3 linked regions of the Cricetulus griseus genome follow. The protein of the gene in region 3 purifies or fractionates together with the protein of the main gene of each other region. This does not show direct contact. Links are inferred from orthologs where the notes say so. Each region holds a gene or a part of one and is shown on either strand. Other genes may lie near its edges.

Region 1 (4,293 bases), on a different chromosome or scaffold from region 3:
CCCAAAGCCTGTTTCTGCTGCCCCTAATGCGCCCATCCCATTCTCTCCTCTCCTCTCCTGCCTTCACCGCTTTGGGCACATGCCAAATCTCTGTGCTTCCTCATTCACACTCCTGTTGTCACCTTGACTTCTGACCAGACAATGCTTCTCTCCAAGCAATTCGTGCAGTGGGATGAACTACTCTGCCAGCTAGAGGCTGCCAAGCAAGTGAAGCCAGCAGAAGAATGACAGTTGCTTACTGTGCCAGGCCAGGGAAAGGGGGGCCAGCTCCAGGGCCCTGTGCCACCCTGTCTTTGTGAGGCAGAGACAGCTTTGTATTTATTCAATTCAAAGACTACCTGTCTGCTCAGTTGGGGCTCTGAGGTCAGAGATCAGGTTACCTTAGAGTCATGATTTGCACTCCCCATCAGTGTATTTATTCCAATGACAATAAACTGTAGCTACCGCTGAAGGTGTGTTTTGGCTTGCTGATCTAAGATGGGCTTGGCTGTGAGAACTGGAATGGTGAAGGGGAGAGCTGTCACTATCAGGGTGGGACCTGGAACTACTCCTGGTCGAGCTTCTGAAAGATGTAGTACTCTTGCATCTGATTGATACAGTGGGGCATTGTATATTTATCCCACATTTTCCAACTGCCCTCTAAATATCAGATCCTACGGCACGTAAGGAGGGCACAGGTAGGGTCACCTCATTTCTGTATAGGGTTTGGGGGAAGACCAAGAAAGTGGTAGTCCTACCAGGTGGGGCTCAGCATGCCAGGATGATCATGGAGGAACAAGCAGGGACGTTCAGAGCCAAGGCAGCATAGCCTTGTGTCTACCGAATACCAGAAGAGGAGCCAAGAGGCTTGGATGCAGTGAATTTTAGGATCTGGGAAGGAGGAGCAGATGATGGGAAAGCTTGGATGAACAGTTTAAGCACCGCGCTCCACCAAGTGTATGCTGCCCTCTTGTGGCCTGAGGGAGTGCCTCGGCTCCTTCAACTGCCTGTAGACCAACCAATTTGTAGTTTTGCTGGCACGCAAAATGCAGCTTGTCCAAAACGATCTGAAACTAGCAGTCATCCTAGACTATTCCAACAAATAGTTCCCGGCTCTTTCCCAGAACTTCCTACGAGTTTTTACCAAGTTAATTAATCTCTTCTCAATTCTTGCCATTTCGGTGGTTAATCAACATGTTGGACAGATGTTGCAGAACCTGTTTCACTCTGAGTACTGTACTAGGTTCCGTGGGCACCCTCCTACCCCCGCGCCTGACGCGTTATGATGGTGCAGGGTACAGACCCTTCCCAAGGTCACGGTATCTGTTGCCCCCACTACCGGATCCTCCTAGCCTATACGCCAATCTATGGCCAATGAGTTGTGCACAAGTTATGGCTTAGTCCCTTCTGAAGACTACCAGGGTTGTCCAGTGCCCCAGGATGAGAACAAAGCTCAGAACTAAGGGTCTCGCCCGCTTGTATCCACCAATGCTTCAGCTTCTCCTTCACCGATGCGGTGAGTCAACAGGTGACGCGCACCATCCATCGTTTAAGGGCACAGATTCGCATTCTTCATGCTCAGGACTCCTCCGATAGCCATTCCTCTCCCGGGCAGGGCCCTCTGCGGGTTCTGGCGTGCTTCGGCATCACCGCGGACCGCGGGATGCGGGCCAGCTGCGGGTACCAGCTCAGCTGAGCCCAACGGCGTCCCGGGTTTCCCTCAGGCCCCGCCCCCTGCGTGCGCGCTCCCGCGGCCCCGTGCGCTCCCGGTCTGCGCGCCATCTTGGGTCGAGCGTGGACGGGCGGTAGTGGTAAGAGCCAAATCCCAGGGCCTGGGTACTCAGACGTGGGGAAAGGGGATGTCTGCTGCCTGGGACAGCGGCCCACGACCGGGGAGCCCGCCAGACCGTCCATGTTTGGTCCGAGCAGTGGTCTGTGCGAGCCCCCACTCTCGAGTTCCCGAATGGCCTGGCTCAAGCCCCCCAACCCTGGTAATCTAAGGATGAAGTCTACTCAGCCGGCCGAGAGCCCGGAGGGGCCGGTTCTTTCTTTAGGGAGTACTTTGTGAGAGTTCGTGGCTGTGCCCCAGGCAGCCTGGGGCCAAGTCTTGATTCTGTTTCCTGGAAGCACACAGTGAGAGGAGCTTGTCCGAGTCCTTGGAAGCCTAGTGAGGAAAGGCTCCTGTTTTAGAGAGTTGTGGGTGAGGAGGGGTCTGGCCTAGCCCTGAAAAGCTTGAGCTGATGAAGCATGGCCCTATCCCGGATAGCCTGGTTTGGGGAGTGGGGGGAGTTTGGTTCTTTCCGTGTGTAAGACTCTCCAGCCTTGGGGTGAGGGGTATATCCTGGAGGGAGTGATGGAGGATGGACCTGGTCATAGTCCTGACACTCATCTGACCGCTTCCCCCAGTGCACAGCAAGAGAGATTCACCAAGGCCACCGGAGCAGAATGGAACACTACCGGAGGGCTGGCTCTGTAGAGCTCCCAGCATCTTCACCAATGCCCCAGCTACCTCCTGACACCCTGGAAATGCGAGTCCGAGATGGGAGCAAAATCCGAAACCTGCTAGGACTGGCTTTGGGTCGTTTGGAGGGGGGGAGCACAAGGCATGTGGTGTTCTCAGGCTCTGGCCGGGCAGCTGGGAAGGCTGTCAGCTGTGCAGAGATTGTCAAACGGCGGGTCCCAGGCCTCCACCAACTCACCAAGCTTCGTTTCCTGCAAACTGAGGACAGCTGGGTCCCAACCTCACCAGACACAGGCCTAGACCCCCTCACAGTTCGACGTCACGTGCCTGCAGTGTGGGTGCTACTCAGTCGGGACCCCTTGGACCCCAGTGAATGTGGCTACCAACCCCCGGGAGCGCCCCCAGGCCTGGGCTCCATACCTAGCTGTGGTCCCAGACCCCGAAGAAGGGCTCGGGACACCCGGTCCTGAAGACCTGCTGAGCCTGACTGTACTCTAGACCTGATTCTCTGTGCCTTCTGTAAGAAGGGCTTGTGTGACACTTAACATGCCAGCAAGGCTTGAGTCCACTGGAGTCCTGCCTCCCCTCCCCCCTGGGATGCGGGATGCTATGAAGAATGAAGGGCATATGGGGTCAGTGCTGAGTTACAGACTGCTTGAGAAGGGCTTACTCTGTCTACAGTATATCTGACTTGCCTTTTTTGACATCAGTCTAGGAGAGGGAAATAAAGGTCATGCCCATTTGTTTGGCCTGCTTGTGTGTAAGTGGGATTGGAGGGGTGTGAGGCCCGCCTTGCCCCGGAGCTCATGGCCTGGAGGCCAGAAGGGTAGGTAGAGGCCGCTGCTGGGTGGATCTGGTGTCAATACATTTCAAGCAGTCACCTGCATGACTTTTTGCCACCTGCTTTAAGCTGGCTTGGGACTCAACCAGGTCAGGCATTTCTCCCATCTGTGTCATATGTTTTAGAATAGTGGGATCATGAACTCGGGCTTTGCCTGTCACGGTTTTAGTCCTGGCTCTCCCACTCACAAGTTACTGCTTTGTAGTTTTGGATAAAGCTACTTCCTGGACCTTTGTGCTCCCATCTGTAAAATGGGGTGTAGAGGGTTTACCTCATTGGCATTCTTTTTTAATAATTTATGTTCATTGGTGTGAAGATGACAGATTTCCTGGAGCTGGAGTTACATACAATTGTGAGCTGCCATGTGTGTGCTGAGAATTGAACCCAGGACCTCTGAAACAGCAGCCAGTGCTCTTAACTGCTGAGCCATCTCCAGTCCGCCCCCCCCCCATTAGAGTTCTTATAAAGAGGTGTCCATATTTGACACTCAGATACCACCTGAGCACCTGATGCTATATAAATGTTGTAAGTGACTTAAGTTTACAGACATGCTGTTTTTTATCTTGAAAGTAGACCTCAATCCCACATCTTTCTTTGGGTGTCATTCTTGCCTTTTTTCCATTGCTGTTTTTTTCTGCCTCACTTTGGCCTTGGATTCAGATTTACTGCAGGTATCTGAAGAGAGAGAATGGTTATATTGGTAGTCAGCAGGCTCCAGGTAATAGAGTGGAATTGTAAGCGGCAGTGGTCTCAAGAGTTGATCAGCTACACTGTGAATCAAGATTTTCTCCAGGGTGTCTAGTAACCTGGATGTCCAATTACACGCAAATAAAACTGGGGCTCTGTTGGGTTCATGTAGCAGGATCCAGCTAGTTGAAGGTGTTAGGCAGTTTTTCTCAGTCTGGGCAGGAGAGATTGGCATGATGGGAAAAAGTTGGGGAAATTCAGGACTTGATATGGGCTTCAAGGAGGGATGAGTGACCATAGGACCATGGAACTGTGGCCTGAACTT
Region 2 (5,065 bases), on a different chromosome or scaffold from region 3:
GGACTTTAGGAAGGATACCAAAAAGTTCGGATGGACAGTAAAAACTGATGAAGAGACGAGCCCTGATGGGAAGGTGAAACTGGCAGAAAGCAGAGAACACCACAGGAAGGCGAGATGTTTGAATTAAATGGGCAGACACTACACTTAAACACTAAAACGCCTACCTGTACAATTGGTAAAGTTGTGAAGAGTTCAGAAACTGCTACTGGCTTTTCAATTTCCTACAACAAATGATAAACAGCAATCCTAGTTACATGTTAAAGAACTAAGCACTACAAAACACTTTAAGGGCATCTCAGAAAAAAAAAATCAAAAAAAGCTAATTTCTGGTATTCAAATGTACTAAACAGCCTTTTTCTTTCTTAAGGAAAGAAACTAAAGAGCAGAGAAGATGCTCAGAACACCAGAGGATAAAAATAAGAACAATTTTTAAAGACAGAAATGACCTATAAGGTACAGTTGTTTAATTAAAAATAAGTATGCATACATATGTATTTGATAGTCTATTAAAGGTGTGGTGGTGGCACACACCTTTAATCCCAGCACTCGGGAGACAGAGGCAGGCGGATCTCTATGAGTTTGAGACCAGCCTGGTCTACAAGATCTAGTTCCAGGACAGCCTCCAAAGCCACAGAGAAACCCTGTCTCGGAAAAATAAATAAATAAATAAATAAATAAATAAATGGGAAAAAAATCAGTAAATGAGTTAATAAGACCATGGTAACAAGATATCGTGGTTATAGCTCATTTAACAGCAATGTAATTTTAAACATCTTTGAATTTGTATGATATATATTAGTTCAGTTATTACTGTAAAAGAGTAAGCATAGGGTGTTTTTAAAGAAGTATAGTTGAGGGTTGGGGATGCAGCCCAGTGAGTAGAGAGGGTGGAGACACAGTGTTGCAAGGTATTTGATTACATTGTGTAAAGATATGTCACTGTGTTTTAATAAATATTAAATGACCAACAGCTATGTAGAAGGTATAGGTGGGACTTCTGGACAGAGAGAACTCTGGGAAGAAGGGGGAGTCACAGCTGGACTCAGAAGAAGCATGACGTGTAGGAGGAGAGGTAAAAACCATAAACTACATGGCAGCACGATGATTAACAGAAATGGGTTAAGTCATAAGAGCTAGTTAGAAACAACCCTCAGCTAAGGCCAAGTTTTCATAATAAGAAGTCTCACTATTTGGGAGCTAGCAGTACAGAGAAGACTTGCCACATGGCAGCTCAGTAAGTAGAGGTAGAGTGATTTCTAAAATGCACACCACCTTGCCTTCTACCCCTGCATCTCATAAACTGGGCATGGGCTTGTAATCTTAGCAGGAGGTCTTCGTTGGCAACACAGTTGAATTCCAGGCCAGATTGGGACACATAAGATTCTGTCTCAAAACGCAAACATGCTTGTGATGACTTATGCTTCACTACCAATTTTACTGGACTTAGAAATGATGATGGAAACACACCTCTGTATTTCTATAATGGTGTTTCCATAAAGGGTTAACCCAGGAGGGAAGACCCACCCTGAATGCAAACTGAGCTATTTCATGGGTTGGAGTTCTAAGGGAACTAACTAAAAAGGAGAAAGTGAGCTGAGCCCCAGCATTCATCTCCTGCTTCCTGACCGAGGAGGAACTGTGACTAGCCACTTCATGCTCCTGCTGCCATACCTTCAAAGTATAAGAAAATAAACTCCTCCTTCCTTGTGTTGTTTTTGTTAAGTATGTGGTCATTGCAACAAGTCCACATTTCTAGTTCCTTATTCCCAACACAAATACAAATATTTGTAAATGTTGTTTTTGATATTTTTTTCTGGGATAGGGTTTCTCTGTGTAGCTTTGTAGACCAGACTGGCCTTGAACTCAGAGATCTGCCTGCCTCTGCCTCTGGAGTGCTGGGATTAAAGGCGTGTGCCACCACTGCTGGGCTTGTAAAGTCTTAATATTTATTTACTAATTAATCAGAGAAATCTTATTTTACCTGTTTCTTTTCCTTAAAGTCAACAATATGATTGATGGCAACAACTGAATATCCAACTGAAAAAAAAATAGATTATTTAAAAAATATTCTTTCTTGTTCAAGAGTATGAGATGAGGTTAGGGATGTAGCTAAGTGTTAGAATGCTTGCTTAGCATACACAAAGCCCTGGATTCTGTTTCTAGACTTGGAAAGTAAGAGGGTTTAATAATATTTACTGTTATGTTTCAGGTTGTTCATCTGTCAAGTGATGTTAACAGCAGACAGCACTTCAGAGTGTCATGAAAATTAAGCATTTTAGAAGAGTGCCAGGCACATATTTAGGCTGTGATTTATGCTAGCAAAACACTAAAAACACCTTGTTTCTGCTTTCCAAACAATATTCTCAGGATTTCCTGCCCCTTTGTTCATTTTTATTCCATCAAGTTTATGTGTCTTTCCGTCACCTTCATTATCATTCATTTCTTCTGCGATGCTCTATTTCCTCCCTTACCCGAAGGTGCAATGGAAGGACGAATCCCTTACACCTCTTTTGAGGTGCTCTACAGTAAAAGACAGGGAAAACGACGGTTTGCCTTATCCTCACAACAGTTAGCACTGCTTGGAAAAGTGCCTCTGTCGCCAACACATCTAAATCACGACTCTTGTCTTTAAGTTGTCTAAAGACCAACAAGATGATAGAGTATTAATATAAAAGATAGTGCATGGTAATGGCAAACTAGTCTAATAACTCCCGAGTTCAAGCTATTAGAGCATCCATTATTTGACAGACCCTATGGCAGGCGACAGCACACATGATTAATGCTCATCCCCAAGGAACTTAAAACTCGGGAGAAATAAGGTAACACCCTCCCCATTCTCTAAGAGTCCACAGCAGTTCCTGCCTGCGACCCAGCTTTCTGTATTTGTCAGATGTCGTCGGGGCCCAAAAGGACTGACGTTAAAAGCACCCACCGGCTTAGGGGACTGTACACCTGGAGTCCAGTCCCAGAGCCTACCATTCATCAGCTCACAGCCCCCTTGCCAACACCTCGACCCCTTTGGCCTCTGTTCTCTCCCTCCGCACGGAAAGACTGTGCAAGCCCAGGCAACGGCAGCTTCCTCAGTAGCCTGTGAGTTTCACACGCCAGGGATCCGGGAGACATAGCAACTACCATTTGCCTCTAGGGAAATGCCGCAATCCCACGAGAGACCCAATAATAGGGCCTGGAAAAACTACCAAGCAAACCGGTGGTATGGGGGCAGCGAGGGGCCGGGCTCGCGGGGCGAAGCCAGTAGACTCACGGTGAGCAGCGGTCTCCACCAGTCCCCGAAGAGCCTTCAAGTCCGAGCCCGCTCTTAGGTCCAAATCTGCGAACGCCGCCATGCTGACGTCCCAGGAGCACCCGCGCGCCAATCTGCGCAGTCGCCCTGTTATTCCTCGAGCATGCTGGGAGTTGTAGGCTGTCACTTTGGCATCCTGGGATTTGTGGTTTTTCCCTTCTCAGTCGTCTACTCTCTGCACAGTATTTCCTGTCCTCTAGAAACCAGCCAAAGTTAGTGTGCTCGAACCTACAGCCTCACTTACTCCCTTTTTGTCGTGATTTGAACGAGAATGTTTGGTAGACACAGTAGGGTCTTTCCCCCCGCCCCTCTCGCCAATACAACAGAGTAGAAAGTGATTCATTCTAAACACACCCATAGAGCATTTTGAGATCAAGCAGACGTCTAAGGTCGTGAAGCCCTGTTCCAAGAGCTGGGTGAGCCTGGGGTGGTGGCCCACGCCTTCAGTTCCAGCAATTGGAGGGCTGAGGCAACTCTATGAGTTTGAGGCCATCCTGATCTACACGGTGACATCCAGGCCAGAGAGGGATACATAAGTCTCCAAAGTAGGTAAGTTGATAAGCACATGAAGAGACATGGGAAAATGTTTTTCTTTCCTTTCTCTAATGTCCATTCCATTCTTTGAAAATGGGCTTAAAAGCCTCTTTGAAGCGCTTGCTCTGGGGCGGATTGTTTTAGTTCTTTGGGCTAAGCCTAAGATAATGGGTCTCTGTTATAGAAACATCTACAACCACAAGATGGCAGGGCACTCTCAAAGATGAAAGCTTAGCGACAATACACAAATTTTCATGAGACATATTGCAATATCATTTGATGTTTCTACTTTAAAAATTAACTTTTGAATATTGGCAGATCAATTATCCGACGGCATAAAATGCTGGCATTCTTTTTAATCCACTTGATGCAGAAGGGCAGTTCTTTACTCCTTTCCATTCTGTCTCTGGCTGGCTAGCATGGGAATCCTTTATGCATTACCAATAAGCTGCCCCAGCCTCCTGCAGCTCAGTAATATGATATCTGAACTGCTGGGTTCTCAAATAAGAAAAGTCTATCGATCAGTAGGACTTGACCATTAGGACAATAACGAAGTGCTGAAAAGGTTTAGAAACATTTCAATTTCTGTACTGATTGCAAACAGTATGAGGACTTCCCCTCTGATCACACTTTGAGTAATACTCTTCAACATAATGGTCTCTAATTTCTTACTGATTTTTGAGAGAATATTTATTATTATTATTATTGTTATTTTGAAACAGGTTATTGTTAGTAGCCCAGGGTGGGCTCAAATTCACAATCTTCTTGTCTCAGAATCCCGAGCGTTGGGATCACAGCTGTGCTTTGCCACACCTAGCTTTGGTTAATTTACATAAAGAAAAAAATTGTTGTTTTGTTTGGTATTTCCCCCAAACAAAACAACAGCAAAACAACTTCTGCCACTAGAGCAAAGTCATACAAAACAAACCACTGGCTTTTCAACAGAATGTCTAGTGCTGGCTTTTGTACAAGTAGAAAGGCATCTTCATACATGATCGCAAAATCTGGATTGGTCAGTAGTATGGCCATAGTGTAGTGGACCTAAGTTAAGATTAAGAATTTTGATTATTTGATGCTGAGATTAGGTTGAAGAGGACATATTTGTTTTAAAGTCGTGGTGATGTTGCTGTGGACTTCACCATTTAGAATCCCTTTGCTCTATACCCTGAGCTTTGTTGAAGAGGAAGAGAAAGGGTGAGAAATAAAATGAACGGATGAAAATAATTGAGC
Region 3 (5,101 bases):
AAGAGTCCCAAATCAGAAAGATTCCAAACTTGTAACTTTTTTGAGCCTGTTTATAGTCAAAATGTTCCAGAGCAGAAAGCAGTCATACTCAAGTTGGAAGTCCAGATTCTCAGCCCACCACCTCCACCTTTGAGGCAACAGTGTCCAGCTGTACCCTGATTTGCAGCTTGTGCTGTCATAGGACAACTGGTCACTACAGAGGGCAAGGGGAAGACTCCTGTGTTTTCTCCTAAGAAACTCAACCCTGGAATAGTTGAGGGCCAAGTGGATTTTCCATGACCATCATTTCTGGGAGCAGCTGTGCTGGTATATACAAAGTCACGTGATGATACTGATACCAGGTTATAAATTTATGATGGGCCTTATTCATACACTCACCTACTTCTTTGTTGCATTCCACAGAAACAAGAATAAAGGAAACTCCAAAAGCCTTGTAATATACAGTGACAAAGTGAAGATTAAACAAGTTTTAACCATTCGAGTAATAGCAAATTTTTTGATAATTCATTTCAGTAACATAACATACACTGGCATACACACACATTGTTATTCAAAAGAACCTGACATCTGAATTGCACCCTGGGACCTGCAGGTGGAAGGAGAGAACCACCTCTCACAAGTTATCCTCTGATATCCACAGACATGTGCACGCACACACACTCACACACACACACACACAAACTGTCAAAACTTTAAAAAGAGAATGGGGCCAGTGAGGCCAAGTAACCCTTTATGGTACTTCCTTGCTACTCCAACCTTGCTCCCTGTTTACCCTCAGATATGTAAGATTTTTCTGAACTTAAGATCTTAACTCCCTAGTAAATCATAAACTCATCTAATTTTCAGAAACCTACCTGCTTTAGTCAAGAAGGTACGGATTCAGGGTAGGCTGTGACAGACTTTTTATCATATTTCACAATCTACGCAGTCATAGTCAAATAAATACTAAGTGATTAACTGACACAGAGCAGCTGTTAAGTGTTTATTGAACTGGCAAGCACGCGTGTGGAATGCTGCAGAGAAGCAGCTCCTGGCCCCAGCAGTGTTTCCAGCTCTCAGCAGTTCCACTTAAAACAGCAGAACCCTGAACGATCTGGGTAACTGCCCAGAAGTTTCACATGTGCACATCTAAACTCCCATCAAAGCAAAAATATCATCAATGTCATCTGCCTCTTTAGCAGCTTGTGGCACACTGTGTGTGTGTGTTTGTCTGTTTGTCCACAAACCAGTTTCATTTCTACTGCCTGCTGTGAGATTCCCATGGAACCCCGGCTCCTTTGTTTTCAGGACAGACTTTGAAAGTCTTCTCAAGACCTGCTTTCTGTTAGGACAGACATCTGTCCTCTGAACTGTCCCACCTGAGCGGCTCCACTTAGCACTAGGGTCCCTAGTGCTCTTCAGAGTCCCTTCAGGTTCCTGCTGAGTTTCCTTTAAAAGAGTTGACTGTAACTTTCTCTGCGGTTTCCTCTGTCTCGATAAAACTTTATGCTTTGATCTTTTTTGTCTAGGAGAACACTTTGAAGTGCTGATAATGGAGCCTCGAAGAAGGCAGTTGCAAAGAGATGTTTTCATGCACTGTAGCTTCTTTGGCAAACTAAAGGACAGAAGAGAAAAATCTCAACTTATTATGATGCTAAAAAGTTATCAAGCACTTTTAACTGTCTGCACCAACTTCCAACAGAAAAGTACACCATTTGTTATAAGCCCTAGGCCTGTATGTATGTATGTATAACCTCAAATATACAAAATAAAGCAATGGGAGTTCCAACCTAAGAGTATGTTTTTCAAGCTGATTGCCTCTTCAGGATGCAGGCAAATGTGCCTCCATTATACCCTCAACACAATTCCCAATAACTACCTAACAAGGTCACAAATGGTGAGACACCTCCACATTTGAAAGGCATGGCCTTTCCCTTATGCTGATAATCAGTTCCTAGGGTAAACAAGTGGAAACTGCAAAATATCCCAAATGGGAAGCTCTAGAGTATGTCATAATGCATCTCTAGCTAAGTTCATGGCATAGATGAACAGAGCAAGGGAATAAAAGTGAAGAGGGAGGTCTTCCACTGAAGACAGACTGACAGCTGTCAGATACCCTGAGTGTGAGTTGTGCTGTACCCCCTTCAAGTCTGCAGTAGAACTCAGCTGATGAGTCTAGGCATTTGCTTCACTACCTTATGGCTTATTCTGGCCTTGGTAAACTACCTACTGCACTGTTGGTAAAGATTAACATGGCTCTATGTGCCTTACCCAAATCCCTTCATTCTTTAAAAAAAAAAAAAAAAAAAAAAAAAAATGCATAATCGTTTAAGGAAAACCTGTGTAATAACCAATTCATGACCCATTATAGCAGTGAGTTTTTATTGTGTAAAAAGTGGGTGCATCTCTGAGCTGAAACAAAAACAAGAATCAGAGGAACTGAATTGAGTTCTAGATCTCCAGTTCCAATACCTTGAGCAATACCACCTCTTTATGTACAAAATGGGAATGGCAATGCCTACTCTTCAGACTACTGTGGGCATTAAGTGTTTTACAAAATGTACTACAGAAAGAAAAAAAAAAAAAAAAAGAAAAGAAAAAAAAACATAGTAATAGGGTAATATGGTCACTATATTTTGGGAATTAGAGAGTAATAGTTTAAGCAATAAACCCGAGTTTGTTACCCCTCTTGCTAACTGTTCATCATTATGATTTGTGTCCTCATCGATCCTTGTAAGAACCACGATAAATTGAATATATCAATACGTGAGCATCCAGCTGCTATAAGCATCAAACCTGACCCTAATCCCTACAACCTGTGTGGGCCTCACAGGCAGAAGCACTCACTTCTCTGACTATCTCACCCAGCTGTGCTGATGCTGCCTAGAGAATGCTACCTCCCACTAGAAAATGAGTGCCTGAGGACTAAAACTGCTTGCTGCACGCTGTTGGCCCCAGGCTTTGAAGGCCCCAGGCAACCTTAATAATGCCTTCTGAAATGAACCAGCAGGAATGATGCGGTACAAATTAGTTAAGTCCAGTGAACTTGTCATTCATTTTCTGCCTCATGACACAACCTCCCAGATTCCATGAGCAACACACGCAACTATACTTTGAGTAGGTCTTATTTTAGCACCCCGAGGGCTGCTAGACATCCCACCTTAAACAAAGGCGGTAACGCACATACGTACATTTTCTTACCGAAAGGGGGGAGGAATTTTCTAACATACTTACCTATAACCTTGAGCTTCCACATGCCTAAGCCTGTTACTCTTGAGAAGTTTGTTGCCCAGATAGGTGGCCTGAGCCTTGAGCTTTTTGCTCCGGCACCACATGACTGCCGTTTGGATTTCCTCAGAAAGCTGGGTGAAAGTCTTGGTCACTCGGATTCTTTGCACAATATTGCTAGCCCAGAGAGTTCGTGTCAGTTTCTGAGAGGAAAGTTTGCTTGTCTTCAATCTGGATTGAGAACATTTAAACTCCCGGCTCGTCTCCTGAAATATAAAAAGGTGAGAAGGATACATTTAAAATGGTATTGACTTGTAAACAAAGAACAAGAATCTTGGAAAGCTGATTCATTTTTTTTTTTAATTTCAAATAATTAGTCTTGCCAGGTATTGGTGGCACACGCCTTTGATCCCAGCACTTGGGAGGCAGAGGTGGTGGATCTCTGTGAGTTCAACGTCAGTCTGGTCTACAGAGCGAGTTCCAGGACAACTTCGAAAGCAATACAGGATAAACCCTGTCATGAAAAACCAAAAAAAAAAAAAAAAGTTTTTTAATTCATTCTCCTAACACTACTTTTTTACCTCTCTACCAAGGCAGGTCCTATCTGCCTTTTAATTAAATGTACACAGAAAACCCAAAATAAAGCCAGGCAGTGGTGGCTTTAATCCCAGCACCTGGGAGGCAGATGTGGGTGAATCTGGTCTACAGAGCAAATTCCTGGACAGCCAGGGCTACACAAGAGAAACCTCATCTTGAAAAATCAAAAAGAAAAGAGAGAAAATCCAAGATACTCTCATACACATATGTGACATACAAAATAAAACGCTGATTAAATACTAGTCAAAGGATAATGATGGGGGGGGGGAATCACAAGTCTTTAACAATGACATCTCTGAACTACCTAGTTTGTTTGGAAGGTTGTTTTATTTGACTTTATTTCTTTTATTGAAGACTAAACTTAGGACCTTGCTCACATTTGGCAAGTGGTCTGTATCCCCAGCCCTTTTAAGGTTTTTATTCTGAGACAGGACTTCAACAAGTAACCCTTCAACAAGCAAGACTGAACTTGCCATCCTCCTGCCTCAGCCTCCTGAGTAGCAGGGATAACCGGCCTGTGCCAGCAGGACTGACTTGGACTCACTTGCTCTCCACTTATTCCTATCCCCACAGGAACAATCCTCAAGATGGGTCATAAACATCACTAAAAACAATAAAGATGGGAAGCCCTGGAAAGTGCCCCACACCATAGGGCTGTCAGCTAGTTGATGAACAGGACAAAATGATTAAGTGTGCGGTCTTCCTAACCTTGCACCGCTTTTAACAAGGCATCTTTATTTCTCCAGTCTCTTCTACAGCAAGTCAAGTTCGGATTTTACTAGCTTTTCTGACTTTATGAAGATTATTCCACCTACTAAGTCTACCCAAATTCCATTTAAAGCTTACTTTCTTTCCAAATCTGTGGAGGGACATGCCATTAATCCCCGCACTCAGGAAGCAGAGGCAGACAGGTCTCTATGAGGTCAGTCTGCTGGCCTATATTTGTTGAGTTCCAGGCCAGCCAGGGCTTCATAGTGAGACTCAGCCAAATAAATAGTAAGTAAATAAATTCCCACACTCAACAGGTACCTAAAGAAATAATTATGAATTAAAGACACTCTAGTATTGTTTTGTGATCAATAACTTGCTCTAAAAACAAGCTGCACCTATGAATGCCAATTAGAATATGAGAGTAATTTCTCTTGAATGAGGAGTATGCCAACCAACCAGATGAAGCCCAGCTCCCATGTGAACTGGCTCTTAGGCTGCAGAGGTGGGAAGGCCCACAGACACCACAGTTCCTGAGACCAGAATTCAAAGATTCTGTATTAAGGAACCATGGGTTCTGCATTCAAAC

What was found.
Region 1: the proteins of Nepro (region 3) and Rpp25l purify together in Homo sapiens (affinity purification with mass spectrometry; 3 studies listed by BioGRID and IntAct, with this or other methods). This does not show direct contact. The link is inferred for Cricetulus griseus from reciprocal best matches to the Homo sapiens genes RMP64 and RPP25L.
Region 2: the proteins of Nepro (region 3) and Rpp30 purify together in Homo sapiens (affinity purification with mass spectrometry; 3 studies listed by BioGRID and IntAct, counting the BioPlex papers as one, with this or other methods). This does not show direct contact. The link is inferred for Cricetulus griseus from reciprocal best matches to the Homo sapiens genes RMP64 and RPP30.

What each region holds. Positions count from the first base shown.
Region 1 is NC_048595.1:100,887,500-100,891,792, forward strand, and holds Rpp25l (ribonuclease P protein subunit p25-like protein), read left to right. Parts: upstream 1-1,801; 5' UTR 1,802-1,838; coding exon 1,839-1,970; intron 1,971-1,986; exon of another isoform or gene 1,987-2,179; intron 2,180-2,385; coding exon 2,386-2,910; 3' UTR 2,911-3,183; downstream 3,184-4,293. Other genes in the region: Dctn3 (dynactin subunit 3), read left to right, coding at 139-228. UniProt on the Homo sapiens protein: May be a component of ribonuclease P or MRP.
Region 2 is NC_048596.1:25,690,535-25,695,599, forward strand, and holds the start of Rpp30 (ribonuclease P protein subunit p30), read right to left. Parts: upstream 3,411-5,065; 5' UTR 3,345-3,410; coding exon 3,263-3,344; intron 2,038-3,262; coding exon 1,982-2,037; intron 222-1,981; coding exon 165-221; intron 1-164. UniProt on the Homo sapiens protein: Component of ribonuclease P, a ribonucleoprotein complex that generates mature tRNA molecules by cleaving their 5'-ends. Also a component of the MRP ribonuclease complex, which cleaves pre-rRNA sequences.
Region 3 is NC_048597.1:45,708,734-45,713,834, forward strand, and holds the end of Nepro (nucleolus and neural progenitor protein), read right to left. Parts: intron 3,474-5,101; coding exon 3,214-3,473; intron 1,774-3,213; exon of another isoform or gene 1,595-1,773; coding exon 1,129-1,594; 3' UTR 970-1,128; downstream 1-969. UniProt on the Homo sapiens protein: May play a role in cortex development as part of the Notch signaling pathway. Downstream of Notch may repress the expression of proneural genes and inhibit neuronal differentiation thereby maintaining neural progenitors.